7 linked regions of the Macaca mulatta genome follow. The protein of the gene in region 2 interacts with the protein of the main gene of each other region in a biochemical or structural test. Links are inferred from orthologs where the notes say so. Each region holds a gene or a part of one and is shown on either strand. Other genes may lie near its edges.

Region 1 (4,016 bases), on a different chromosome or scaffold from region 2:
TTTTTTGAGACAGAGTTTTGCTCTTGTTGCCCAAGCTGCAGTGCAATGGCGCGATCTCAGCTCACTGCAACCTCCACCTTCCGGGTTCAAGCGATTCTCCTCCCTCAGCCTCCGAGTAGCTGGGATTATAGGCACATGCCACCATGCCCCGCTAATTTTGTATTTTTAGTAGAGACGGGATTTCTCCATGTTGGTCAGGCTGGTCTCCAGCTCAGACTCAGGTGATTCACCCGCCTCAGCCTCCCAAAGTGCTGGAATTACAGGTGTGAGCCACCGCGCCCCGCCCCGGACAAGTCAAATTTAAAATAAGACCTTTAATTTGCAGTTGTTATTCCCAACAGAAACAAGTAATATGCATATCATAGCGCTTAACACCTGATAAACAATCAGTATTTGCTGAATGAAAGAATGGCCATTAAGGCTGCAAGACTCTTAGAACAGTAGGCAAACAAATAAAACAAATTTATTAAAACGCTCAGAATGACTCGAGCAGGAACCAGTAACTAAATCCTGTCATACATGATTCCATTACTTGTTTCCATTACTATTTTTTTTATTGAAAATTATTAGAAATCGGCCAGGGGCAGTGGCTCACACCTATAATCCCAGCACTTCGGGAGGCCGAGGCGGGTGGATCACCTGAGGTCAGGAGTTTGAGACCAGCCTGATCAACATGGTGAAACGCCTCTCTAATAAAAATACAAAAAATTAGCCGGGCGTGGTGGCGGGCGCCTGTAACCCCAGCTACTTGGTAGGCTGAGGCAGAAGAATCGCTTGAACCTCGGAGGCAGAGGTTGCAGTGGGCCAAGATGGCGCCACTGCACTCCAGCCTAGGCAACAAGAGCAAAATTCCATCTCAAAAAAAAAAAAGAAAAGAAAATTATGAGAAATCAAACTATTTCCTTTGCTACTTTCTCCATGCTAGAACTTAAAAGCATTTAAATCACACTTTAAAAGAATAAACCCAAAGTGTTGCTAACATTTCTGTTCGCCAACTTTTGCTACTCCAATTTTCTAAAGATGTATATAACGACGATTTAGACTGTTGTATAAAATGTAAATACTGGGACAACGAATTTACAATTAAGTTTACATATTATCCATCCCCATTAATTAACATTTCAATCAACCTTTAATTGTGATTGATGCTTATTAAATAAAGGAAGTGAGTTATGCCTAAAGATGCTTTCTTCATGTCAAAATCACAAGGAATATTACACATTAATTCATAATGAGACTTATACTTGTTCATACCAATTTAAATAGGCTAATTAGTATTTAAGTTGAGGAAAAGCAAATATCAAATCTTTTTTTGTTTAAAATAGAAAGGTATAAACAAAGCTAAATACACCAAATCTCTTAAAATCTTTGTGTTATACATTTGTAAAAACTATTCAACTGCTGATGCCTTCTTTCGTGCAAAGACCTATACTACTTACAAAAGTAAATGTACAAAGGAACAAAACGTTAAAGGGGGAAGTTCTGATGCAAACTACACTACAGCTAATTTAAAACAATTGAAGCTTGTCGTAACATCTAATTTTCAAAAAAGTTTTCGCATTTTAGATTCCACAACACGCATTCATTACAATAGTTACGAAAATCATGTTTCAAAAGAGGTCTAGTCAGATTGACTTCATCTGCAGAACGGCAACAAAACCCAACTGCTTATGAAGGGTTATGATTTTACCCGCCACCAGTTTTCCGAATGGCTACTTTGTTTCATTTCCCCATATTTAATACAAATACACAATGAGATGGTTAAAAAGTGTGCAACAATTTATAGGGACCAGATGTCAACAAATTAGCAGTCTAAAGCAAGACTGACAAATAATAACATCACGCCGATTTTTGTCCAGAATAATTACAATGGCGGAGGGGAGACATGGGGTGGGAGAAGGGGTGGGAGAGGTGAATAAGAGCTTAACTCTACACGCACATCTCCCAAAAAGAGCTCTTTCTTTCCACTACGGGATTATTGTAAAGGGCCCCTAAGCTTTAGATAGTGTTCAGGCAGGGTGCGTTAGTGTCAGCCTGGCTGGGATGGATTCGTGCAAGGGATGTCACTCAAATGCAAGTGAAAGTACGGTCCTTGCGACTTATTTCGAGTTTTCTTTGCAACAGTAGCCTAACGCCGCTACTCAGCGACTTCTATCTAAAAACCAGAAAATCAGCAGCCCCCGCGTCATCAATCAAGCTGAAAAAGGAAGCTTTGGGGGCAAAGGGGCAACAGGGCACCCCTAAATCTTTGAGGCTCGCTCTGGGTAGAGGCAGCAACCTGAGCTGCTCTGGGGCTCCTGCCGCTCCAGGGGACTCCCGGAACCCCCGGGCCGCCTCCCTGGGCCGGCGCGGCGGGGAGGGCCCCACTCCACACCCCGGGCTCGCCCCGCGGTCCAGCCCCAGGGAGGTTAACCCCTTCGGCGCCCCCCACGCCCTCCCCAGGCGGGGACCGGAGCCCCAGTCCCTCTGCCTCTCCGGGACTAGGGGGCCTGGGTGGCTCAGGGGGACGAAGGCGCGACGGGCGCGGAGGCGGCGGGTGGCTCCGGCCTAGGCCCGGGCAGCGTGTCCCGGCGCCCTCCCCCACTCCCACACGCTCGCTCCGGGCAGGGCGCGGGCGCCCGCCCGCTGCGGCGTCCGCCCGCCCCGGGCTGGGGCCCCTTCCGGCCGAAGGCGCGGACCGGCGGCTACCTGCGGGCTGTGGAGGGCCATGGCTGCCCGTTTCAATGGGACTCGGCGTTCCTCCGGCTGCTCACGCTGCTTCCCCCGCCGCCGCCATCTTCTCGCCCGCACATACACACTCGCATCGGCCGCCGCGCCTGCGCACTGGCCGCGCGCCGCGGGGCGCGGGGAGGCCGGCGTGCTGCTGCGCCTGCGCGGCCGACAGGTGGGCGTGCGTCTGCCGGGCCGCGGACCTTCCCTGCCCCGCCTGGAACCGGCCGGACTCTGAGCCCCGCGACCCTCGGGCGGAAGATGCCCGGCGGCTGCATTCTAAGAGCCCGCCGGGTCCTGCCTGCGAAGCCGGAAGGGGAGGCAGCAGGCAGGTGGAGGTGGCAACGCCGAGGCGCCGGCGGGCCCCGGCTCCTCACCTACTGGCACCTGGGCCCCCGGAGCTCGGGAGCCGCGGCCTTTGGTCGGCCGGGGGCCCACGAGCCGCCCTCGGCGTCCCTGGGCCCGGGCCTCGGCAGTGTTCGCATTAGATCTCCGAGGAGGGTCAGGTTTATGAAGATCCCATTGCCGCCCATTCATTCATTCGTTCACTCTTCATTCACTCCCTAAGGCCTGCCTGGGCGCCTGGGCCACGCCTTTTGCTAGGCATTAGGGGAAAAAAGGAAAACAGAAACAAAACGTAGGGCATAAAAGCACGCGCAAAGTGACATGAGGCCTGGCAAGTAGCAAGCACTCAGCAAGTGCTACGTGTTGCACACGTGCGTGCGTGTGCACGGCAAACCAGCCTTGGGGGTCGTTGGTCCATTCATTATTGAGAAGCAGGCGCCCCTGCCTGACTGCACCGTTTTCCAGCCAGTGGGCCCACCCTCGGGTTTTGGCCCCTTTTCTAGCTGTGATTTCAGACAAGCGACTTCACTTCACTAAGCGTTGGTCTCCTCACCTGTGAATAACACAAATATGTCGTCAAGCGTAAGATTTCTGTGAAGTTCAAATTAGATTAATGTGAGCACACTGGCCAAGAGAACAGTCAATAAAAATTGGCTACTGGGATTGTTACTAATAACCACTATCATTGCTTTCATTTGTTCAACAAACACCTACAGAGAGTCTGCTCTTGCTAGACCTTACGCTAAGCAGAGGAGATTAACAGGAAGATCCATTCCCACGTTACATAAAATAGGGAGCCTGATCTCTTCATAAGTGGGATGCCATGAAACATATAAGTGGGCCAGGCGCGGTGGCTCACGCCTGGAATCCCACACATTGGGAGGCCGAGGCGGGCGGATCACAGTGAAGAGTTGGAGACCAGTCTGGCCAATATGATGAAACCCCATCTGTACTAAAAATAC
Region 2 (3,500 bases):
AACGTCAGTCTCATCCCTGATTTCTGACGTTAATTACCTCCCGTATTACCAGGGCAGGTTCTGGTTTCTCCCTCATTCTTACTTTAACCACCCTATGCCTGTGCGTTTGGTAAAGCCACTCTCGACCTGACTTATAAAGAAGGCAGGAAATGGAGGTGTGACATGGCGTGAGAGCCGGGCCCCGGGCTCTCGCTGGCTTCCCAGGATCAGCCAGGCTGCCCTGGGCCTGTTCTGGCCATCAGGCCCCTTAGGGCTGAGCGGAAGGGGAGGTGCTGGCGAGGTAGTGTCTGCTGGAGCGGGGACCAGCAATGTCCTCCTCTCAGCCCCTGCCTGTCCACCCCCCTGCAGCTCCTGCTTCAATGGTGGCACCTGCGTGGACGGAATCAACTCGTTCACCTGCCTGTGTCCACCTGGCTTCACGGGCAGCTACTGCCAGCACGATGTCAACGAGTGTGACTCACAGCCCTGCCTGCATGGCGGCACCTGTCAGGACGGCTGCGGCTCCTACAGGTGCACCTGCCCCCAGGGCTACACCGGCCCCAACTGCCAGGTGAGTGCGCCAGCCACAGAGGTGCCCGAGGGAGGGGCTCTGGGTGGGTGCCTGCCTGCAGGGGGCGGGAATGGTTACCCCCAGGTCCCACCGTGTCGGCTCAGGGTCACCCCTACACTCCTGGGCAGAGGGCTTCGGGGATCTGAGCAGCCAGTGAAGGAATCTGATGCGGGAGCAGCAGGCATCTTCATTTCAGTCTGGGTTTCTGGAGCCAGGGCAGGAGCTCAGGAATTGGGGGGATTGAGGAAAGACGTTCCTTCTAGCAAAGGCCGAGGGTGGTCTGGACCTGCTGAGGGCCCTGAGGGAGACCCAGCCCAGGCTGTTTTCCATGTGGGGGCGGTGGGGAGTCCAGGGACGGCAGTTTCCACTTCTGTAGAATGGGTTGAGGCCCAGGTTGGAGTAGGCCCCTTGGTGGATGTGCGTTCTGAGCTACTGGGGAAATGGCCAGGGGGGTGGGCACACGGCTGACCCCAGCCTGTCCCTAGAACCTCGTGCACTGGTGTGACTCCTCGCCCTGCAAGAATGGTGGCAAATGCTGGCAGACCCACACCCAGTACCGCTGCGAGTGCCCCAGTGGCTGGACCGGCCTTTACTGTGATGTGCCCAGCGTGTCCTGTGAGGTGGCTGCGCAGCGACAAGGTAACCCGCTGTGCCCACCCGGCTCGGGTCCCAGCCCGCCAAGGTCCTCCGTGGGCCTGGGCCTCACCTGTCCCCCACCCCAACCCCCACAGGCGTTGATGTTGCCCGGCTGTGCCAGCATGGAGGGCTCTGCGTGGATGCGGGCAACACGCACCACTGCCGTTGCCAGGCAGGCTACACGGGCAGCTACTGTGAGGACCTGGTGGACGAGTGCTCACCCAGCCCCTGCCAGAACGGGGCCACCTGCACAGACTACCTGGGCGGCTACTCCTGCAAGGTGGGGGCCCATCCTAGGGTGAGGGTTGTGGCCGACACGAGTGTTGCCACACACTGGGCCCTGACTGGGAGCTGGCACAGTGGAGAAAACTGAACCTGATAGGCCCATGCACCATTCAGTCTCATTACGGGAGGGCTGGGGTAATCAGGGTAGACCACCTGGAAGAGGCGGCCTGTGGAGAGCCCGAAGGAGGGTGAATATTGCTGAGAAGTGGGATGGGGTTTTCCCTTCCTCTAGATTGTGTCTGGGCTTGGCCAACACCTACCCTGAGACCCTCACCTCTATCCTACGGGACGGAGTCCACCCACCCCCAACAGGCAGTGACTCCGGTCACCGAGGCCCCGCCAGGGTCTGTTGGGCTGGGTCTCCCTCCAGGTCTGACAGGAGCGAGGGGCCTGTGGCTTCGCTGGACCTGAGGGCAGCTCACGTGGCCCTGTCAGCCCTCATGGTGGGGTGGGGGAACGCTGCATCCTGGCACCAACTGAGCCGCAGGGCCCCTTGTTCTGTTGCCTGCACAGTGCGTGGCCGGCTACCACGGGGTGAACTGCTCTGAGGAGATTGATGAGTGCCTGTCCCACCCCTGCCAGAACGGGGGCACCTGCCTTGACCTCCCCAACACCTACAAGTGCTCCTGCCCACGGGGCACACAGGGTAAGGGCCACCGCACGGAGTGCTTATCGGGCATCCATGGCCAGGGCAGGGGTAGGGCAGGCACCCCGTGATCGGCCCGAGGCATCCAGGAACCAGCCAGAAACTCCCAGTTTCCCACGTGAGGCCAAGGCCAACGCAGAGCTGCCTGGGGAAAGGGCCCAGAGTGGGGGGCCCAGCGGGAAGGGCGTCTCCACGGCACCCTCTGCACCTGGCTCACCCGAGCGTCCGTGCAGCCCCAGACCTGAGCGCTTGTTGTCTGGGATGGACACGCGGCACGGCAGGGCTGGCACAGCAGTGAGTTCGGGCCGCTGATGGCACCTGGCCCCACAGGTGTGCACTGTGAGATCAACGTGGACGACTGCAACCCCCCTGTTGACCCCGTGTCCCGGAGCCCCAAGTGCTTCAACAACGGCACCTGCGTGGACCAGGTGGGCGGCTACAGCTGTACCTGCCCGCCGGGCTTCGTAGGTGAGCGCTGCGAGGGGGATGTCAACGAGTGCCTCTCCAATCCCTGCGACGCCCGCGGCACCCAGAACTGCGTGCAGCGCGTCAACGACTTCCACTGCGAGTGCCGTGCCGGTCACACTGGTGGGTGCCGTGCCCGGGCGGGTGGGGCTTGCAGGGCAGCAGGGTGAGCCTCTCACTGCCCTGCTCTCACCCCCAGGGCGCCGCTGCGAGTCAGTCATCAACGGCTGTAAGGGCAAGCCCTGTAAGAATGGGGGCACCTGTGCCGTGGCCTCCAACACCGCCCGTGGGTTCATCTGCAAGTGCCCTGCGGTAGGTGCAGGGGTGCAGGGAGGTGGGGGCCCTCCAGGGGAGACACCTGGGAAGGTCCACCTGAGGGCCTTGGGGCACAGACTGGGCAGCGATCCTCACAGCCTTCATCTTCCTAATCACCCTGACATCATTTTTTTTTAGTTTCAATAAATGATTTTAGAGACATTTTAGATTTATAGAAAAATGGAGTGGAAAGTAGATGCCCTGGGGTGGCTCTCCCCTGCACGCAGTTCTCCTGATTAGCAGCTTGCTATTTCACTCCAGATTTCACTGATACATTGTTACCAACACCAGCCCTTCCTGTAGCTGGGGCTTGCCCTTGGCTTTGTGGTTGTAGGTTTGGGCTGAGGTATGACACGCCTGCCCACCCTCGCAGGATTATGGCAGAGAGTCCCTGCCCTAAAGTCCTCAGCGCTCCACCAGTGTACCCCTTCCTCCATCTCCCGACCCCCTGGCACCCCCTAATTTTTCTCTGTCGATAGAATGTTTGTAAAGGGTTTTGCTGCTGGGGACAAGGCTGTAGGCTGCCTCCCAGGTTAGGGGAGAGCGGTGGAACTGCTGGCCGGGGGCTGGGCGCGAGGTGGCGGGCGGTGGGGGACGGCCCAC
Region 3 (3,500 bases), on a different chromosome or scaffold from region 2:
CCTTGCTGTTTCTGATTAAAACAATTTCAACACTGCGGGGTGCAGTGGCTCACACCTGTAATCCCAGCACTTTGGGAGGCCGAGTGGGCAGGGTGGATCATCTGAGGTTGGGAGTTCAAGACCAGCCTGACCAATATGGGGAAACCCCATCTCTACTAAAAATACAAAATTAGCTGGGCATGGTGGCACATGCCTGTAATCCCAGCAACTGAGGAAGGCTGAGGCAGGCAGGAGAATTGCTTGAACCTGGGAGGCCAAGGTTGCAGTGAGCCAAGATGGCGCCACTGCACTCTAGCCTGGGCAAGAGCAGCGAAATTTGGTCTCAAAAAAAAAAAGAAAAAAGAAAAAACTTTCAACACCAATGATCCCAAGGCGGGGCAGGGGCAGGGGCAGACCGGGGAGCACTGGTCCCTTCCCGGATGAGGGAGTCTTACTTTCATGGCAGTATGTTCCCGTGAAGCCTTTGTTACAGTCACAGGTGAATTTGCCTCCCGACTGACTCTTGCACTTCCCGTGGGGACCACAGACATTCGAGGAAATATACCGCACCCCTTCAGGTGTGTCGTTGGAAGCCATGGCCACTGTGCAACTGTCAATCACTAGAAGATAGGCTTGGGATCAGATCATAGTCATGCACCCACAGACGCAGCATTCCTACGCCAAGGGCCTGGGCCAAGCCCACTTTCCTGGAGACAGGGACCCTCTGGCTAATGAGACACACCCCAGGGAAGCCAAGATACTGGCAACATGCCACATCACATTATGATGTGGCAAAGTCGAGACTCCAGGCAAAGAGTTTTAAAGCATTTTCTCCCTCCACAACCAGGAAAACCCACATGTTTGCAGGTCCCCTTCATGCTACTTTTGACATCTACCCAATTTGGTAAACACTTGCTAAGGAAAAAGGACCTGCTTTATTCACTTCCTTTTTGACCTTAAGCAAGGCTCAAGGACAATCTTATAGAAGCTTTAAATGTTGTGCTACCTAATACAGCAGCCACCGGCCACATGTGGCTATTTACATTTAAATGAACTAAAATGAAATAAAATCAGTTTCTAGTTGCGCTAGTCACAGTCTACATTGCCTGGGGCTCCCACACCTGACCGTGCAGATACAGAACATTCCCCCAGTCTGCCGTTGCAGGAAGTTCTGTTGACAGTGTTGTTCTCAGGCATTTGCCTCAGCGTTGCACATCAGCCCACCCCAGAACAGGAATGCTAAATGGATTTCACATTCTCTCCCCTGGGCTACTTGTAGACATGGCTCTCCCACTGGCAGGCCTGAATAGATTGTTTCCACGTGTTGCGGCCCGCTACACAGACAGGATCATTTCACTGTAGCGGTCCTCCTCACCAATACATTACTTCTCAAGTGTAGCAAGGGGCAGTGGTAGTAAGTAGGGACAAAAGGAGAAAGTGGAGACAGCCAGGTCCCAGGAGAAGGGAGGTACCTTCACAGGGGGTCGTGCGGCAGTGGTCTTTTAGGTGTGAGCAGTTCTTGCCCTCATAGTCCTCGGGGCACTTGCAGAAATAGTCGCTGGCACGGTTGTAGCACTGGGCACCGTTCTGGCAGGGATTAGGCTCACAATAATCGATGTCCAGCTGCAAATATCAGGAACAGGGAAAAGGGGGAGGGATCAGGGTAAAACAAAGGTGTCATGATAACTTCTCTGGGGCAGCAGGCACTGGAATCTGACAGTTCCTTCTGTTTCTATTAAAGTCACCCTGTAAGATACATGTCCATGCCCTAGGGACTGCCAATGTCCATATTTGAAACAATGGAGCAGAGTGGGAGAGGGAGCCCAAGAGGGGGTGGAGGGAACCAAATAGAACACAAAGACGAAGACACTAAGAAGAAAATAATTCGTCAATATCTCCTTCCACCAGCATTTGTCTAGCAGAGACTCATCAATAGGATGTTAATAGATGTCAGGAAATTCCAGACATAAGAGCTGAGGGAGGAGTAAAGGGGAAGCGGAGGAGGCAGCGGCTCTGCTGTAAAAACTTGGCCATCTGAGGTTTTGCCACCACTCACCTGACAGAGGTTTCCAGAGAAACCAGTGGGACACAGACACTGGAATCTGTTGATTTCATTCTGACAGTGACCCCCATTCAAACAGGGGTTGCTGGCACATTCATCGATGTCTCTCTCACAATGATCGCCTGCATAGCCAGGTGGACAGATACAGCGATAACCATTAACCAAATCCTGGAAGAGGAGAAGGGGAGAGAGAGACACGTGCTTTTTTTTCTATGTATTCCACAAACACAGGGCTTCAGTGGTTTAGCATGACTGTTGCGGTTTAGCTGGTTCACTGAAATAGCCAAATGCCAAACCTCTGAAAACGGTTAGAGGAATTTCTACGTGCATGCCTTCAAAATGACTCCCACGAGGCTGGGGTAATATAAGCCCTAGTGAAACTTCCGAGAGGCTCGTTTTTCACCCGAGTTTTTAAATCTCACAGGGACAGAGCTCTCCCAGTGTCACACAAATCTAAAGATTTGTTGTCAATTGTCAAAGTTTTGATTTAAGCAAAGATTTACATACCCGACAGGAGGCGTCATTCTGACACTGGCCAAGGCAGTCATTAATATCTAAAAAATAAATAAGTCATCATTTTAAAGAGGTAATTTACAGTGAAATTGGGCTTAATTGAAAAGCCTTCTCAGCTCAGGATAGATAAGTTTCAAATCAGATTTCCTGTGTGCTTCCCGTGAGATAAGGTTATTACGCTGGGTGGGGACCCTCCCTAATTCTTCCAGAATGAGGGAGTGAAACTTCACATCATTGTTTCAGCCACATTATCAGAATATGGCTGGTTTTAGCAGCTAAATGAGCCTGATAAAGTGTGTGTGTTCACTGCTGCACTGACCACTCCCTCTCAAAAAAACATTCCCACTCTAAGGTTTTCCTTCTACTGCTCGAGGCGTAGAACTGGAGCCTCAACACAGACCAGCAAGTCGGCTACCCAAGTTCCATGAAAATCAAAATGGAAACAAAGTCACTCACTTATGTCACAATTCTGACCCATCCAGCCAGGAAGACAGTCGCAGTAGTAGCTGGCAATGAGATTCTTACAGGATTTGGCGTTTACACAAGGTTTGGCCTCACATTCATTTGCATCTGAAAGGAGATGGGGATGAGCATGAGAAATGAAGTTCAACCCGCATCTCCCCCACTTTGTAAAAAAGAAAAGAACAGGCCAGAGTTTGTCGGAGACATGAGACCTTTTAATAAGCTAGCTAAATAAAAGATACTAGAGGTTCCCTCTATTTTAAGCATCTGATCCCTCTCCCTAGCCATTATCCAATAAGAACGCTAATTGATAACTTTCCAGCTGCTAGTTAACCAGCCCCCAACAGAAGAGCAGAAAGCCACCAGGCATTTCTGTGCAAAACCCAGCGCAGCCTAGTTGCTGGGATTTAAATGTGGCAAAAAGAATGCAGACAGCTCATTCCTCATGAGATCATCCCCGTTTGGAACCCAGCTGAACACTCCT
Region 4 (3,939 bases), on a different chromosome or scaffold from region 2:
GAGGTGGAGTTTGCAGTGAGCTGAGATTGCTCCACTGCACTCCAGCCTGGGTGAGAGTGAGACTCTGCCTCAAAAAACAAAACAAAACAAAACAAAACAAAACATAACCAAAAAAACAAAAACGAAAACACAGAACAAATTTTCGTATGCTTTTATAGAAAACTCTTCTCCAGATGTCTTCTTCTGTGACTGCTCCTTGAGGAGCAGGGCTATCCCATAGGCAGTATGCCTAGAGTAGCCCCAGATCTTTCAACAGCTTGCATCTTAGCACTCATGTCTCTGCTCAGTTACCTCTCTCTAGAGCTGTTTTCTGACCATCTTACCCAAAATAGCCACTTCACCCCAAACTTTGAGTCACTCTCTAACCCTCTTTTATTCCTAGCGTGTATTACCTGAAATTGCATTATGATTTTACTCATAGTCTTTCTATCCCAGTAGAATGTAAGCTCCATGTGGATAGAGTATAAAATTAAAACAAATTCAGTTTCTCCTATTATTTCACTCAACAATCAACAACACACAACACTTCTGATACCAGATACATGATGGTTTTTCCCCACGTATCAAGCAAGCTATCAATTGTTTACTGGACACCAGTCAAGTGTCCTCTAATTCAATTCATTTTTGATGTTATCTACCTGGAGATAGTGTCAGATGTCACAGGTCGAGGGCTCAGTCCCTCAAGACTGCCCTTACTTCAGATGCCAATAGTAGGTCCAGGTCACCGGCCAACTGACTACAAACCAGGGTTCCCATGACCTCATCCTCAGGTTCAACTAATTTGCTAGGGTAGCTCACAGAACTCAGGGAAATGCGTTTACTGGTTTAAAGGATGTTACAAAGAATACTGAGGAACCCCAGATGGTAGGTATGGAAAGCTCTGGAGTCCCCAAGACTGGTCATTTGAATACTGCATTCTGCCACTGCAATTTTAAGCACACAATACCCATGACAGGCCACACGATGTGGTGGCTGAGATGGGTGGATCACTTAAGCCCAGTTCAAGAACAGGCTGGGCAACATGGCAAAACCCCACCTCTACTAAAAAACCAAAAATTAACTGGGCATCAAGGCAAGCGTCTATAGTCCCAGCTACTCTGAGGCAGGAGGATCACCTGAGCCTTGGGAGGTTGAAGATGCAGTGGGCTGTGATTGGGTCACTGCACTCCAGCCTGGGCAAGAGTGAGACCCTGCATCAAAAAATAAAATAAAAAAATACCCATCACATTTCTAGAAATTTTTCCTGTGTGTCCATTTCAAATTCCACCTTTTCCACGAAGTCTCCCCTCATAACTTTACTAGTCTATGACACAGTGTCTCACACCTGGAGGGTACTCAAATGTTTGCTGCCTGTAACATTTACTAAAGAAAAAACTCTTGGCTGGGCATGGTAGCTCATGCCTGCAATCCCAGCAGTTTGGGAAGCCTAGGTGAGAAGACTGATGGAGGCCAGGAGTTGAAGACCACCCTGGCCAACGCAGTGACACCCCATTTCTAGCTTTTTATTAAAAAAAAATTCAGATGCCGGGCATGGTGGCTCACGCCTGGCACTTTTGGAGGCCGAAACAGGAGGACTGCTTGAGGCCAAGAGTTAAAGACCAACCTGGCCAACATAGCAAGACTCCATCTCAAAAAAATAGTTTTTTAAAAAAAAAGGCAAAAAAATTTTTAGAAAGGAGAGGGGAAAGAAAACTCTCCAGCCCACACAACTTATTCCATCTAATTCTTTTTGCACTAAGGTTAGTATAACACAAATGTGCATTTTGTGTTCTGTGATTGTTTTATGTCTGTATACCTTGTACCCCATCTTCCCTGTTGCCAAAGACAGATTTTCTTCTGTGTACACAATCCCCAGGACAGAGCAAAGCACCAACAGTAATTCCCAAAGTAATTTTTTGGATTCATACTGTCATCAGCCAGAAAAAAACAAAAAAACATGCGTGAGGAGAATGAAGGGTGTTAAGAGGGCTCAAGTTGATGTCCTAAAAGGACTACTTTCTCTACAACCTTCCTGAACACTAGACTTTTCCTGTTCAGTTCGCATGTAAAGTTTTCCCACTTAAGGTGGGGCAGCAACGTTGGGGACTAGCAGGGGTAGCGTAACTTCTCGGACTCTCCCACTGGAAAGCATCTTTTTCTTAAAGGCAAGGAGCACTTTACAGACAGTTACTAAGGTAACCGAAAACAGCAAAACTCTGAGGTGGTTCTATCTACGGAAGAAATTCTAAGCTCCAAAGTTAAAGTGCGGAGCAGTGGCGCATATCAGCAGACAGCTGCCACTAGTGTGGCTCATTTAAATCTCTGTTCAGCTCCGGGTCCCTTTTTTCAGGAATCCTTGTTTCGGGACACAGGCAAACGGCCGGAAAGCCGCGCAGTCGCAGCCCGTGCGCTTCACTCCGCCCAAATAAGCCACTACCGTCCCCAACCCCTTCTTGTTCGCCCGAGCCGCGGACCTGAGGGAGCGTTATTCGCTCCCCGCAAGATGCTTAAGCGAAAAATGCAGTCTTCAGTGTCTGAGGCCACGCCGCGGCTTTCGGCCTCGGTGAGGGGTGAACTAAACCCGGGAAACCGCGGAAAGACCCCAGCTTCGACTAGGCCTAGTCGTAGCGGCGGCCAGCGGGAGGACGTAGCCGTAGTTTTGGCCCACGTCATTCTGTGCCCCGGGTCAGGTCACCGCCCCAAGAGTATGGGAAGAGAAATGAAAAAGATTGGTACTCCCAGACCCTTCCGTATCGAGGACCCCAATCAACAACCCACCTGGTGAGCGCCATCTTCTTCCGCTTCTTCCAGCGCGAGCGACAGCACCGCGGGGCGGGTCTTTCCAGATGATGAGGAGCGGAAAGGAAGGAGCGCGCGATGCGCAGGCGCTCTGGCCGAAAGGCCTTCTGGGATTTGTAGTTCTTTGAACGGGAGTACCATTCGTTTCTATTCTGACCGGACCAAGCGGTTATCAAGGAATAATCTCTTCAGCTAGCAACAAATACATAACTCGATCGCTTATATGCGACATGATAGGGCGTTCCCTAGGCAAAATATCAAAGATAGAGGGAGATGCTGTTTAGGCCGCTTTATTACGTTCCTTACTCAGCCCCATTCCCCCAGAAAGGGTACAAAATACAAAAGCTTCCCCGGGACAGCTCTGTAAGTGAAAGGGTGATAGGGAGTTTAAAACGATAGGTAATAGTGAGACTGGCTAATGGAGAGTTCTTGGACTCTGAAAACATTCATACTCAAAACTTTTCTTTAAACCGTATCCTCCTACCACCCAAAACAATCTCCTGGGGAGATATTTTGTAATCCTTGGTAATTTACCGAGCGTCTGGGTTCCCTGCCCAGGGTATGACAAGGCTGAAATCTCATAGGAGGCTCTGGAGAAAAATCCATCTTCTAACTCATTCTTGTTTGCAGAAATCAGTTCCTGGCGGTTGTGGGATCGACTTCCCTGTTTTGTTGTGTGCTGCTAGTGGTGGCCACCCTCAGCTCCTAGGGATCACTCTCAACTCCTTCCCACATGAACCCTATTTATTGGTAGTTCACAACATGGATGTTTGCTTGCTCCCGGGCCAGCTGAAGCACATCTTTCTGTCTCCTCTTCTGCCACCGTTGGAGAAAAATGCTCTGCTTTTAAAGGGCTCGTGTGATTAGATCAGGCTTACCTGGATAATCTCCCTGTTTTGAGATCAACTCTTGGCCGGGCGCGGTAGCTCACACCTGTAATCCTAGCACTTTGGGAAGCCGGGGCGGTCGGATTGTCTGAGCTCAGGGGTTCCACACTAGCCTGGGCAACATGGTGAAACTCTGTCTCTACTAAAAATACAAAAATTATCTGGGTGTGGTGGTGTGCTCCTGTAGTCCCGGCTACTCGGGAGGCTGAGGCAGGAGAATCGTGTGAATCGGGAGATGGAGGTTGCAGTGAGCCGAGATCACGCCACTGCACTC
Region 5 (2,693 bases), on a different chromosome or scaffold from region 2:
GCTAGTTCTATGATTCGACAAATTGCCTAACCAGTCTCAGCTGCAGGTTTTTGCTCGTCTTTAAAACGGGAGATAATAGTGCCTACTTCTCAGGGATAGTGGGAGCTTGAGAGAGAATGAACAGAAAGTATCGAGGGTAAGCACTTAATATGTGGTCAAAATTTCAAAATGAATTTGTTATTTATAAGGCTTCTAGTTGTAATTATCACAAAAGTTTTGTTGATTCTTTGATGGAACCAGATTTCATATTTATATACCCCAATGCAATCTACAGAGATGAGCACAGTGGAGTGTCCTCCTTCATAGTCTAGGAGAGAAGTAAGATTTGCAGTTGCAGCACATTATCCTTACTTTTGCTGTATAAAACAGGTCTGAAGTATTGATTTCTATGCCACACAGCAGGAGATGCAAAGAAACCAAGATTTTGCTGATTTAAATATTATAGACAAATCCTAAATACTTATAATGAAGGATTATTACTTCAGTGGAAGAAACAGGCATACTAACATGAAAAAACACATTTTATTGCACTTAAGTTATAAGAAAATAAAATTTCTAAGTGAATCAAACCATAGACACAATCCCTTTAAAGGTTGTTTTCCTCCATCATGTCAGGTTGTTACATAACTAAAATTAACCAACTTGAATCTGATTGCTTTAAATCAGACTATAAATAAAACAAACAAAAAAAATAAACAGAAGGAGGAAAAAAAGATCGCCTAGGATACAGTGTTAAACCACTTTCACAGTTCAGCTTGAGTTGTGGCTCTTGGAGAATGAGGCAAACCATTTGACTTTTTCATTCATTTTGTTTGTTTGCATGTGACGCCTTTACTACAAAAACTGAATAGTTTCTGCTTTGTCAGTTACTCAGAGCAATAAAACTGTAACAGTTGTTTTCCCAAATACTGTAAAACACTAAGACTGACCAGCGACTTTATTTTAATTTTGTGTTTTATATATTTTTAAAATATTTTGTCAGTTTTACGATGTACGTTCATCCATTCACCACAGCCCTCAAAAAGAAAAGTTTCTCCACAGAACAGGCAAGTAATAGCTCTGTTCCAAGGAATGTGTTTTAAATTTTGCCCAGATAAAAGAAAATAAGCTTTGCACACACTCTCAATTATTTACTTGCAGGCAAACTTCACTCTTTATTATCTGAAACTCTTCCATTCTCAGCCTCTTAGAGGCACAGATGGCTCAAGTTTCAGTGGCAAAAAGTCTTTTTTCCGTAACCAAACTAGAGCAAATTTGGAATTCAGTCTGGGACTAAAACGTCACAGCAGAAAAAAAATAAAAAAAAATAATTTGCTTTTTTCTTTCTTTCATTTAGCAGCATAAATAAGTTTGGCCACTGGGAGTACAGTACAGGGGTGGGACAACAATCCCATATTTGAAGACCTACTTCTAGCACCAGCATCAAGAATTAAATCCATCTCAGGACTCACAGAACCCAGGACAACTTGCCACCTTTGAGCAACATATGCATTGAAGAATGTATATGGAAGCAACAGTAAATAGATAAACAGAGGCTAATACTGTGATTGATTGACATTGGCAATGGTTGGCAAAAAAAAAAAAAAAAAAAAGGTTTTCATGATAACTGTACAAAAACAATTCACAGTAATTTTTTTAAGCTTTTTCACTCCAGAAAAATGACTTTTTGTTGCAGATGCTCTCTAATTAGAAAGTCAACCAGTACTTGTTTTGATGTTATTGCAGTTCCTTTCTAGGTGTCTAGTTGTCAGTGGTAAAAGAACAGGCTAGCAGAATCTGTAATGATGTTTCAGCATTAACACTGCCCAATGAGCACTGGAGAAGAAAATAAAGAAATAATTGCACCTGGTTTGATTTAGAAAGTCTCATTTTGCAAAGCTGCCCTCAGTCAAAAGTGAAGCCTTTTATGTGATGAGACAGCAGACGCCTCTCTTGTCAGTTATGGTTTGTCATCTCTTCTTCTTTTCCTTCTTAGTCTGTAGGTCTTTTCAATCTGTTGCCCCAAGCCAACATCCTGCACCACTGAGAACAAGGGATTTTTTTCTTTTTCTTTTCTTTTTTCTTTTTGCAGGGGGAAGGGCAGGGAGTATATCGTCTACACAATTGGACAAATTCATCTTTTCTGCTCTTCACTTCATGTCCACATCAAAGTCCAGCACCAGCAGCTTGGTTTCTTCAGTCCCATTCCGACTCCCAACTGCACACACCAGCTTTGTGTTTGAGGCTCTGATCCGCCACACGACTCCCCCACTCCCCCCACTCTCCAATGTGACTAGGTTTCGAATAAATTCACCCGTTTTCAAGTCCCATAGTTTTACAGTTCCATCATCTGAGCTGGTAATTACAAAGTTCTTGTTGAACTGTAAACAGGTCACAGCACTCTGATGCTTGTTGGGACCTAGACAAAAACCAAAAGAATTTAATTACTGGTTAGAAATAATGGCTATGGGTTAGTTACATTATAATTTGTAGACTTCTACTTTACAACATACAATAAATGCAACATTTGAAATGATACATATTTAGAAACCTATGTCCTCAGTATTTTAGGATCAGCAGGGATATAAGAAAATCTGGTAGCAATTTGTAACTGAAACATTAACTTTCAAGAGGCCTGTCTTCCAAGACACTTGGTTAGCTACCAGACAAATGTCTTATTTTCTGGCTGTGTGAACGACAGCATGCCTTGGTGA
Region 6 (3,500 bases), on a different chromosome or scaffold from region 2:
ATCCATTTCATTAAATGCTGCAAAGAGGTAATATTCTAATTTTTTAAATTCATAACTTCTGTATTTGTTAGCTGGAGTTTTTTCTACAAAGAGGAACTTTGCCATATCAGCTATTTGCTTCAATTGTAGTATGTAATGAAAAGGTAGGATTAGTTGCTTGTTTACTCATTTGCAGAACAATGATAACATTCCTTGAAAGAGACCAGTGGGGTTTTAGAGTTTTTGTTTTGTTTGCTTTCTTTTCATTTTGTTTTATTATGAGCTCATGGGTTTTTTTTTTTTTTTTTTTTTTTGTATTGGTTATATTTTAGTCCACTCAGTACACTAATATCACTTAGTTTTTATTATGGAAAAATTTCAAACACACTCAAGTAGACAGAGTTGCATCATAAAATGAAACCTCTTATGTTCATTCTCTAACTTCAACAGTGATCTTAAATTCAACCAACCTTATCTTCATCTATACCTGTACTCCAGGCCCACTTTCTTCTGCCCCTATTTTAGTTTGATGGATATCCAATCAATGTTCAAATGTAAAATGGTCTAAAGTGTTATTTTAAAAATCAGAGTGCTTGAATCAAAATTCAAATCTGCCACATAGTACAGTTTATACTGTGACATGTCCTTGAGTATAATCTATGAACACCCCCCCACCCCCCCAACCCCCGCGCCACACACACACCAACTCTTGCAATTTATTTAAGTAAGTTGAGACATTTGGCCACTAGAGATTTCCATATACTGGATTTTGCTAATTTCATTTATTTGGTGTAGTTTAATGTATTTTCTGTAAATTGGCAGAGTCAAAAAGAAATAGAGCGTGGGCACTAGTTGGAAAGACAGATTTCATTCAGTACTATTGCAACAGGGGAAAATATAACCAAATTCCATTTCAGAATACAACAAAGACAAGTGGGGATGAAGCAGAGTGAGAGGGTCAATGGATGGAAACTTACTAAAAGGAGACATCAAAGGTAGAAGGTTTCTTTCTGACCTGACTTAGGATTTGTGCTAAAGGCAGGCCAAGATGATCATAGATCCAGAGTGGGGGATAATTTAGGAGGATTCTTGCTACAGCTGAGCTAAGCAGACTGATGACAGGGCTCAAGGACAAATACTAGTTGAATGCTCGGAGCAGCCTGCTTAAAAGTTTGGTCAAGGAGAGAATCTTTAGTCTAGAATCGTGATCAGATTTAAGTTTGTTGTCCTTTGTTTCTTGTTTTCTTGCTGGAAAGCAAGACCTACTCCTGTACTAGGAGGTATATTATGTTTGTATTCAGGCTATTTGCATTTCAAATTACATGGTTTTATATAACTGCTTTAACTTTGTGTTTGTACTGAATATTAGTTTCTTGATGACAGAGAACATATTTCACTTTCAGAATATTTTTCTGCTTACATAGATTTATTTTCAAGAAATTTCATATGGTACTTTAAGGTATTTAGAAGAAAGTAGAATTTTCTAAAATCACAGTATGCAGAGGCATTTACCATCAACTCTGATAAACATCCTTCTAGTCCCTTTTCTATGCATGTATTCTGTGTAATTGGATGAAAACTCATATTAAAAATGTATACATTTGCCTAGTGGAACCACAGCGTACAGAGTATTTTATAGTCTGCTTTTCCATTCAGTGATATTCCAGGAAAATATTTTCTTACCAGTATATTTAGATACACATCCTTTAAATAGATCATCATTTAAATTTCTACGGTCTAACATTCATTATTTTAAAAGTAAGTTTTTCTGTAATAATCAGCACCACATTAAACATACTGTGTAGCTTTCACTGTAAAATTATTTTTATGGACATTTGATATCATTAGCTTGACATTATTAGTAACAGTTACCTTGACTTCTTTTTTTGGTGTCATCTATACTGTCTTGGAAAGTGAAAATATTTGTCAAACTGTTAAATGATAAGAAAGAATAATTATACACTGCCAAGCAGAATTTCCTCTTTTGCTCCCTCCCCACCTTTTGCTCCAATCACATAAATAAGAGCTCTTTTTTCTTTGCAGTATGCATTGCCTCAGGAACAAAGGTGGCTCTGTTTAATCGACTACGATCCCAGACAGTTAGTACCAGATACTTGCATGTAGAAGGAGGTAATTTTCATGCCAGTTCACAGCAGTGGGGAGCATTTTTTATTCATCTCTGTGAGTATAAAAATGTGCAATGAATGTTTTTAGTGTGAAATCGTTAAATTCTTTTGATGCGATATATGGATATATTAAGTTTTGTCATTTGCCTAATCATAAAATGAATTCAAAAAGGTAACAATTTGATTTCTTTTTCCACCTACTGTAGTGGATGATGATGAATCAGAAGGAGAAGAATTCACAGTCCGAGATGGCTACATCCATTATGGACAAACAGTCAAACTTGTGTGCTCAGTTACTGGCATGGCACTACCAAGATTGGTATGGCTCTACTTTTGCTTTAGTGATAATGTGAAGTAAAAATTAATTCTTTAAACAGGAAAGTCACAACATTCAAATGGAAAAACACACCTCAATTTTATGCTTTTTAATTTTAAAAGATGTGTTAGTAATCAGAGCTGTTTATAATTGACAGTTATACTGTACCTTATTTCAGAAATGCTTTAAGGTAATTAGCCAGTTTTTACAAGTACATTCTTAATGATTTTTTCTTAAATGATTTCCAATATATTTTGGTGGCAATTTCCTTTTTAGCTGTTTATCTGAAGATGTTCAGTAGAGGGCACTATAAATTACATTTGTTTTCTTTACTAATTCAGATAATGTATTCATTTTTTTGTGGTACCTGCCATATCCCAATGTAGGACCAAGTTTTCATAAAGAAGAAATTCATATTTCTTTTAAAATATAAGCATAATTTTTGTTAGCTTACTGTCTCACAAGAAGATAGATTTATTAAAACTTAAATAAAATTGGTGTTTCTAACTTTGGGAGAGGAGCATAGGATTTAGGGCTTTTGTTCAATAGAAGACATTGAAACTCAGCCACGCATGGTGGCTCATACCTGCAATCCCAGCACTTCAACAGGTGAAGGCAGGAGAAGGAGAGGTGAGTAGCCCTGGCATCACTTGAGCTCAGGAGTTCGAGACTAGCCCTGGCAACATGGTCAGACCTTGTCTTTACCCCGCGCCGCCCCCCCCCACCCAAAAAAAAAATTTAGCCAGGCGTGGTGGTGCACACCTGTAGTCTCAAGCGGAAGTGGGAGGATCACTTGAGCTTGGGAGGTCCTGGCTACAGTGAGCAGTGATCGTACCACTGGACTTCCTGGGCAACAGAGTGAGATCCTATCTCAACAACCACTAAAAAGGAGATCTTAAACTGTAAAAACTGCTTTTGTTAGTTAAATGAAAACAAAAGTGCTCTATAGTGCCACCCCCTCCCAATTTTCCCTCTCCTTTTCTGAAACAATACAATTTATTTATATTCAAGATGAAGGGGATTTATGAGTAAGTTTCATTCAAGGTCAAACTGAAGAGGTTGGGTGAGTAGAAGAACAT
Region 7 (4,285 bases), on a different chromosome or scaffold from region 2:
AAACCAAGAGACCAACCGAATAAAACAAACTTCCTACTAAAAGTAAAAAAGCTAATGAGAAATTTTGCATAGCCATTCATTCATAGACATCCATTCCTGTTAATGTGATTTCTGATCAATCTGTGGACTAGAAGCGCATAATCTGAGTATTTACTCTATTGGTTATACAACAGTACTGTGCATTTCCAGATACACTTCCTACTGCAGTCAATTCTATGCTCAGAAGAGCACATCTATTAAGACCTGAAGATGAAAAAGATGACATTTTTGAGGACTTCATGAAAAATCCATGCAGCAACTCAGACACAATTATTTTATTGTTTGAAAATATCGACTACTTTTCTTACTTCTCCCAAGTTCAAACCAATTGAAGGTTATGAAGTAACCACTTCCCCCCAGAAGCCAGAACTTTCACCTCTTCTGAAGAGAGAAATACCTCTCATAAATTAGGTAAAAATAAGGTCTTGCTGATGGAATGATAGTCCAACATTCATGTAGCTGCCAATTCCCTATCTAGACCTCGTATCTACCACAATGAGCAATCCCTGAAAGTCAAGGTAGTAACTTACTTAATCAATTATCTGCAAGTCTAAAAGTGTAGCTAAAACAACCTACATAAATAATTAGTTTCTCAGACTACTTCAATTTGTTTCCAGGAACAGTAACAACAGAAATGTAAGGAATATGATCACTAAATCTAAAATTCTTCCTATTTCAAGATTAATTGTGCTTTAATCAACTCAGTCATCACAGATCTTGTTTAAGAGGTAGAGTAAAAAGGAAGTGCAAAGATCAAAGCAATGCTTACAAAGGGGAAGGACTATTTTTGTATGTATACCCCAGTATTTACTATCTGGGTTTGAAAAACAGGGGCATTTACTCAGCACAAGTGAGTGCCAACGACGAATGTAAGAATGAAATTTCAGAAAAAAAGATAAAAGATTTTCAAATCACCACCAACCCCAAAACGATTATACTATTTTCCTTAAAAAGTGTCAAAGAGTTTAGAAGTGGTTTGCTTTTCACTGCAAGCAGCTTTTCGGTTCCAGTATTAAATGTACATAAAACGTGTGTTCCTTTGTGTTCAAGTTTGTCCAGTAGGTTGCAGACCAGGAAGACATTTTATCTAAACAAGCAGGGGAGGGCATTTAGGAATTGCAGGTGTATCAATATGGATGAATAATCTCAGATTCCAAGTCTCCATTCATCGTATATGTTCTTTTCATTTCAGCAATTCAATTAAATCATGAACGTAAAATTCTACAGGAAATAAATCTTTTCGTTTCCTGTCTTCCCAAGTTTATAAACTGAAAAAAGTACACTGCTTCAAATTTAAATACATACATTTAAACACGTAATTCCCATAGTGCCTCAAGCAGTAAAAGGATTCATCTCTAGAAAGCACAATATTAAAATCAGAAAAACAACATACTTCAATTTTAAGTTTCCCTTTAAAGTTTTAACAAACACGAATGCAGTTTAAACTGCTTGACAATATTCAGTTGTGGGATTCTGCTAGAAGAAAATTATTGAACATCTTGACCCTAACCTTTAGTATTTACTAAAGATCACCAGTGTGTAGAATATTTTGATGCCAGAGTTATTAAATGTTCTAGTAATACCATAAGCATTTTTTCAGATTATAAGCTTTATAACAAAATCTTTGAGTTAAATATGGTTATTTCATAAACTGTAATGCTGAAAACCTCTACTTAACAAAGTCCATGAAAATGTCTCAAATCTTGATAATTAAATCCTGTATCATTAAGTCCCATTTCAGTTTCAGGATAGACCAGTAAGTCAGGGCAAACATTCCCTGGTGTCTGTTTTTAAGGACCATAGAAAAACTTACATTTAGGATAGGCTTTGTTTTTACATTATTTTTGTTTCAGAAGTCATGCATAATACATGGTGGCACTGTCCAAGAATTTTACATAATCAAGTCTAAAAAGTGCTCTAAGTATCCAACTAGGTAATTTATTTTCTCTCTCAAATGCCAGGCCCCAGAGGATCAGAATCAAGTCCTATAGCAGGTGACTATATCGTGTGTGTGTGTGTGTGTGTGTGTGTGTGTGTGTGTGTGTGTGTGTACGGAGGGGTGGGGGGAGGGAGAGAAAAAGAGACAGAGAGAGGGCCAGGCTTCTTTTAGAAGTAGGAGAGGGATGAATAGACTCTCCTATTCAATTCTGGGGAGCTGGAGAGGGCTTTCCCTGCCAGGAGGACTGACAAGCACTTCTTCTTTCATTTCATGGAACGCCCTTAGGTGAAATCTGGTTCTGCACTGCACCAACCACCTTCCCTCTCTCCTCCGCGCCGCAGCGCACCTCAACCTTCTCACTATCCCCCAGCTGGGGCTGGGGTTGGGGGATTTTAAAAGTTTGTAAGAGTTCCCCTCCGATTCGCGTTCCCACCCCGCGGAGGGACGTGAAGAGAAATCAGCGCCGGGCAGCCACGGCCCTTCGGCCGACTAGCCCCTGCGAGGTCCGGATGTGCCTTACCCCGCTGTCGCCAATCCCATGTGCCTCTCACTACTGTCAACCTCCTCCCACGGTCTAGCCCAGCGGTTAGCGCAGGAATGAGGAAGTCCGAGTGGGGCTGGAGGGGGTGCGGAGAGCTGGATGGCGGGACTCGAGCCACGCGTCCCCTGCCGGGCCCCCACTCGCCCGAGTTTGGCTTACCCTGGTGGCGAGTCCGCGTTCGGCCTCCTGGCGCGGGTCTCTCCCTCCTGGGCGGCGCGGGCCTGCGGGCTGGAGAGGGAAGAGGCGGTGGCCGGCCGGAGCCCGAGCGGGCCCGGGTGCGGGTCGGGGCGAGCGGTAGCGCGGCGGGGCCGGGCCAGGCCAGTCAGCGCCGCGCCATGTCCGCAGCGCGGGCGGAGGGAAGCGCAGGGCGCGCGGTGGCCGGGCGGCGGCGCCGCCTTACTGGCCGGGCGGCTGCGGCCTCGGCGGCGCTGGGCTCCGGGAGCGGGGCCGGCGGCTGCGTGCAGGCCGAGGGCGGCGGCGGCTGGCGGCCCGACCGACGGGAAGGGCAGGGGAAGCTGTCAGCGCGTCGCCGGGCCGCTCCGGTGGCGAAACCTCCTCTTCCTGCCCCGGCTAGCTGGTGCACTTCTCTCTCTTTCTCTCTCGCTCACTCTCTCACTTCCTGGCTGGAAATTCCCACTGACGTCGAGAGAGCATACAGACAGACGGACACACGCGCGCACGCAGCGGGGGCGGGAGGTGGGGTCGCTGCCGGGGGTGGGGGAAGCCCGCACTTTTGGGGGCCGTGCGCCCCCGGCCCGGCCTGGTTGCTCGGTTGGGCTCCCGCCCCTCGGGGCCGCTTCGGGGCGCCGGGCGAGGGGCGCGCGTTAGGCGGCCTGGACGCCGGGATCCCTGGCGTGACTCTGGCTTCCTAGCCGGGCGCTCCCAAATCCCGAGGGCTGGAGCCGGTAGGGACGCCCCCAGGAAGCGCCAGCCGGGCCCAGTGGTCCGGGAACACAGGCGGCGCGGAGGCGGCGGCGGTGCCGCTGATAGAGTCATGCGGTCCATAGCCCCTAAGGGCAGGCCCGAGCAGCTGGAGGGTCGGCGTGGATCCAAGCATGCCAGATATAAAAATAAAGCTCATCTGTATATTCCATTTAAATGTGTCTCAGTTACATTCAGATCTCTTCACAGATTAAACTAGAATTTCGTTATCATAACCGACTTGTGTCCAGTAAAGTATAACCCTCTACTGGTTTTTGGTGCGGTCTTAAATATCCTCGTTATAGGGCAGTTACTCAATATTCATCTACAAGGCATTGTTAGGCCTTTATGATAATTACTGTGGATAGAATTATAGTGATGGTGGTAGCAATGGTTTTGGTTTACAGCTCATAAAATACTGATCTGGCAGAGGGGAGTTTTCTTTTTCTCTGAAGAGACCGCTACTGGCACCCATTGACAGGCCTGCCAGTGACCACCGTTCACTGGCATCTGAGCTGCTTTAGTGCTGGGCGCTGTACTAGGCACAGGCTGGGGATACCTTGGGGTGCATTACCTCCCCACATAAGAAATCTTGAGCTGAAACATATATTTTAGAGCTCATTGTTTCACTAGTGGGTCGAGTGACAACTGAAAGCTTAGCTTTAAAACATCGGTAATCAGGTCCTTACCAGGCAATATTGCAGTGGCATTCAGATTCCTTATAGCATGTTCATCCTAGTCGTTTTGTGCCCACTCTCCGTCCTCCTCCTCCACTAGGTTATAAAAACCTTCTTGGTGGAGTGTTTTTCTGGCAAAAACAAAAAACAAAACAAAACAAACAAAAA

Evidence for each region.
Region 1: the proteins of NOTCH1 (region 2) and USP10 form a complex in vitro, tested with the Homo sapiens proteins (2 studies listed by BioGRID, with this or other methods). The link is inferred for Macaca mulatta from reciprocal best matches to the Homo sapiens genes NOTCH1 and USP10.
Region 3: the proteins of NOTCH1 (region 2) and JAG1 form a complex in vitro, tested with the Homo sapiens proteins (3 studies listed by BioGRID and IntAct, with this or other methods). The link is inferred for Macaca mulatta from reciprocal best matches to the Homo sapiens genes NOTCH1 and JAG1.
Region 4: the proteins of NOTCH1 (region 2) and SNW1 form a complex in vitro, tested with the Homo sapiens proteins (3 studies listed by BioGRID). The link is inferred for Macaca mulatta from reciprocal best matches to the Homo sapiens genes NOTCH1 and SNW1.
Region 5: the proteins of NOTCH1 (region 2) and FBXW7 form a complex in vitro, tested with the Homo sapiens proteins (2 studies listed by BioGRID and IntAct, with this or other methods). The link is inferred for Macaca mulatta from reciprocal best matches to the Homo sapiens genes NOTCH1 and FBXW7.
Region 6: the proteins of NOTCH1 (region 2) and RBPJ form a complex in vitro, tested with the Homo sapiens proteins (5 studies listed by BioGRID and IntAct, with this or other methods). The link is inferred for Macaca mulatta from reciprocal best matches to the Homo sapiens genes NOTCH1 and RBPJ.
Region 7: the proteins of NOTCH1 (region 2) and NFKB1 form a complex in vitro, tested with the Homo sapiens proteins (2 studies listed by BioGRID). The link is inferred for Macaca mulatta from reciprocal best matches to the Homo sapiens genes NOTCH1 and NFKB1.

The regions. Positions count from the first base shown.
Region 1 is NC_133425.1:80,065,905-80,069,920, reverse strand, and holds the start of USP10 (ubiquitin carboxyl-terminal hydrolase 10), read right to left. Parts: upstream 2,801-4,016; 5' UTR 2,710-2,800; coding exon of another isoform or gene 2,689-2,709; intron 1-2,688. UniProt on the Homo sapiens protein: Hydrolase that can remove conjugated ubiquitin from target proteins such as p53/TP53, RPS2/us5, RPS3/us3, RPS10/eS10, BECN1, SNX3 and CFTR.
Region 2 is NC_133420.1:5,990,607-5,994,106, forward strand, and holds part of NOTCH1 (neurogenic locus notch homolog protein 1), read left to right. Parts: intron 1-348; coding exon 349-550; intron 551-1,035; coding exon 1,036-1,189; intron 1,190-1,281; coding exon 1,282-1,466; intron 1,467-1,984; coding exon 1,985-2,117; intron 2,118-2,447; coding exon 2,448-2,705; intron 2,706-2,781; coding exon 2,782-2,894; intron 2,895-3,500. UniProt on the Homo sapiens protein: Functions as a receptor for membrane-bound ligands Jagged-1 (JAG1), Jagged-2 (JAG2) and Delta-1 (DLL1) to regulate cell-fate determination.
Region 3 is NC_133415.1:73,373,568-73,377,067, reverse strand, and holds part of JAG1 (protein jagged-1), read right to left. Parts: intron 3,125-3,500; coding exon 3,011-3,124; intron 2,596-3,010; coding exon 2,549-2,595; intron 2,210-2,548; coding exon 2,036-2,209; intron 1,603-2,035; coding exon 1,452-1,602; intron 600-1,451; coding exon 435-599; intron 1-434. UniProt on the Homo sapiens protein: Ligand for multiple Notch receptors and involved in the mediation of Notch signaling. May be involved in cell-fate decisions during hematopoiesis. Seems to be involved in early and late stages of mammalian cardiovascular development.
Region 4 is NC_133412.1:150,979,795-150,983,733, forward strand, and holds the start of SNW1 (SNW domain-containing protein 1), read right to left. Parts: upstream 2,801-3,939; 5' UTR 2,772-2,800; coding exon 2,758-2,771; intron 1-2,757. UniProt on the Homo sapiens protein: Involved in pre-mRNA splicing as component of the spliceosome. As a component of the minor spliceosome, involved in the splicing of U12-type introns in pre-mRNAs.
Region 5 is NC_133410.1:160,920,560-160,923,252, forward strand, and holds the end of FBXW7 (F-box/WD repeat-containing protein 7), read right to left. Parts: intron 2,399-2,693; coding exon 2,130-2,398; 3' UTR 501-2,129; downstream 1-500. UniProt on the Homo sapiens protein: Substrate recognition component of a SCF (SKP1-CUL1-F-box protein) E3 ubiquitin-protein ligase complex which mediates the ubiquitination and subsequent proteasomal degradation of target proteins.
Region 6 is NC_133410.1:25,461,973-25,465,472, forward strand, and holds part of RBPJ (recombining binding protein suppressor of hairless), read left to right. Parts: intron 1-2,022; coding exon 2,023-2,160; intron 2,161-2,311; coding exon 2,312-2,424; intron 2,425-3,500. UniProt on the Homo sapiens protein: Transcriptional regulator that plays a central role in Notch signaling, a signaling pathway involved in cell-cell communication that regulates a broad spectrum of cell-fate determinations.
Region 7 is NC_133410.1:111,853,814-111,858,098, reverse strand, and holds the start of NFKB1 (nuclear factor NF-kappa-B p105 subunit), read right to left. Parts: upstream 2,801-4,285; 5' UTR 2,679-2,800; exon of another isoform or gene 2,519-2,678; coding exon of another isoform or gene 2,499-2,518; intron 1-2,498.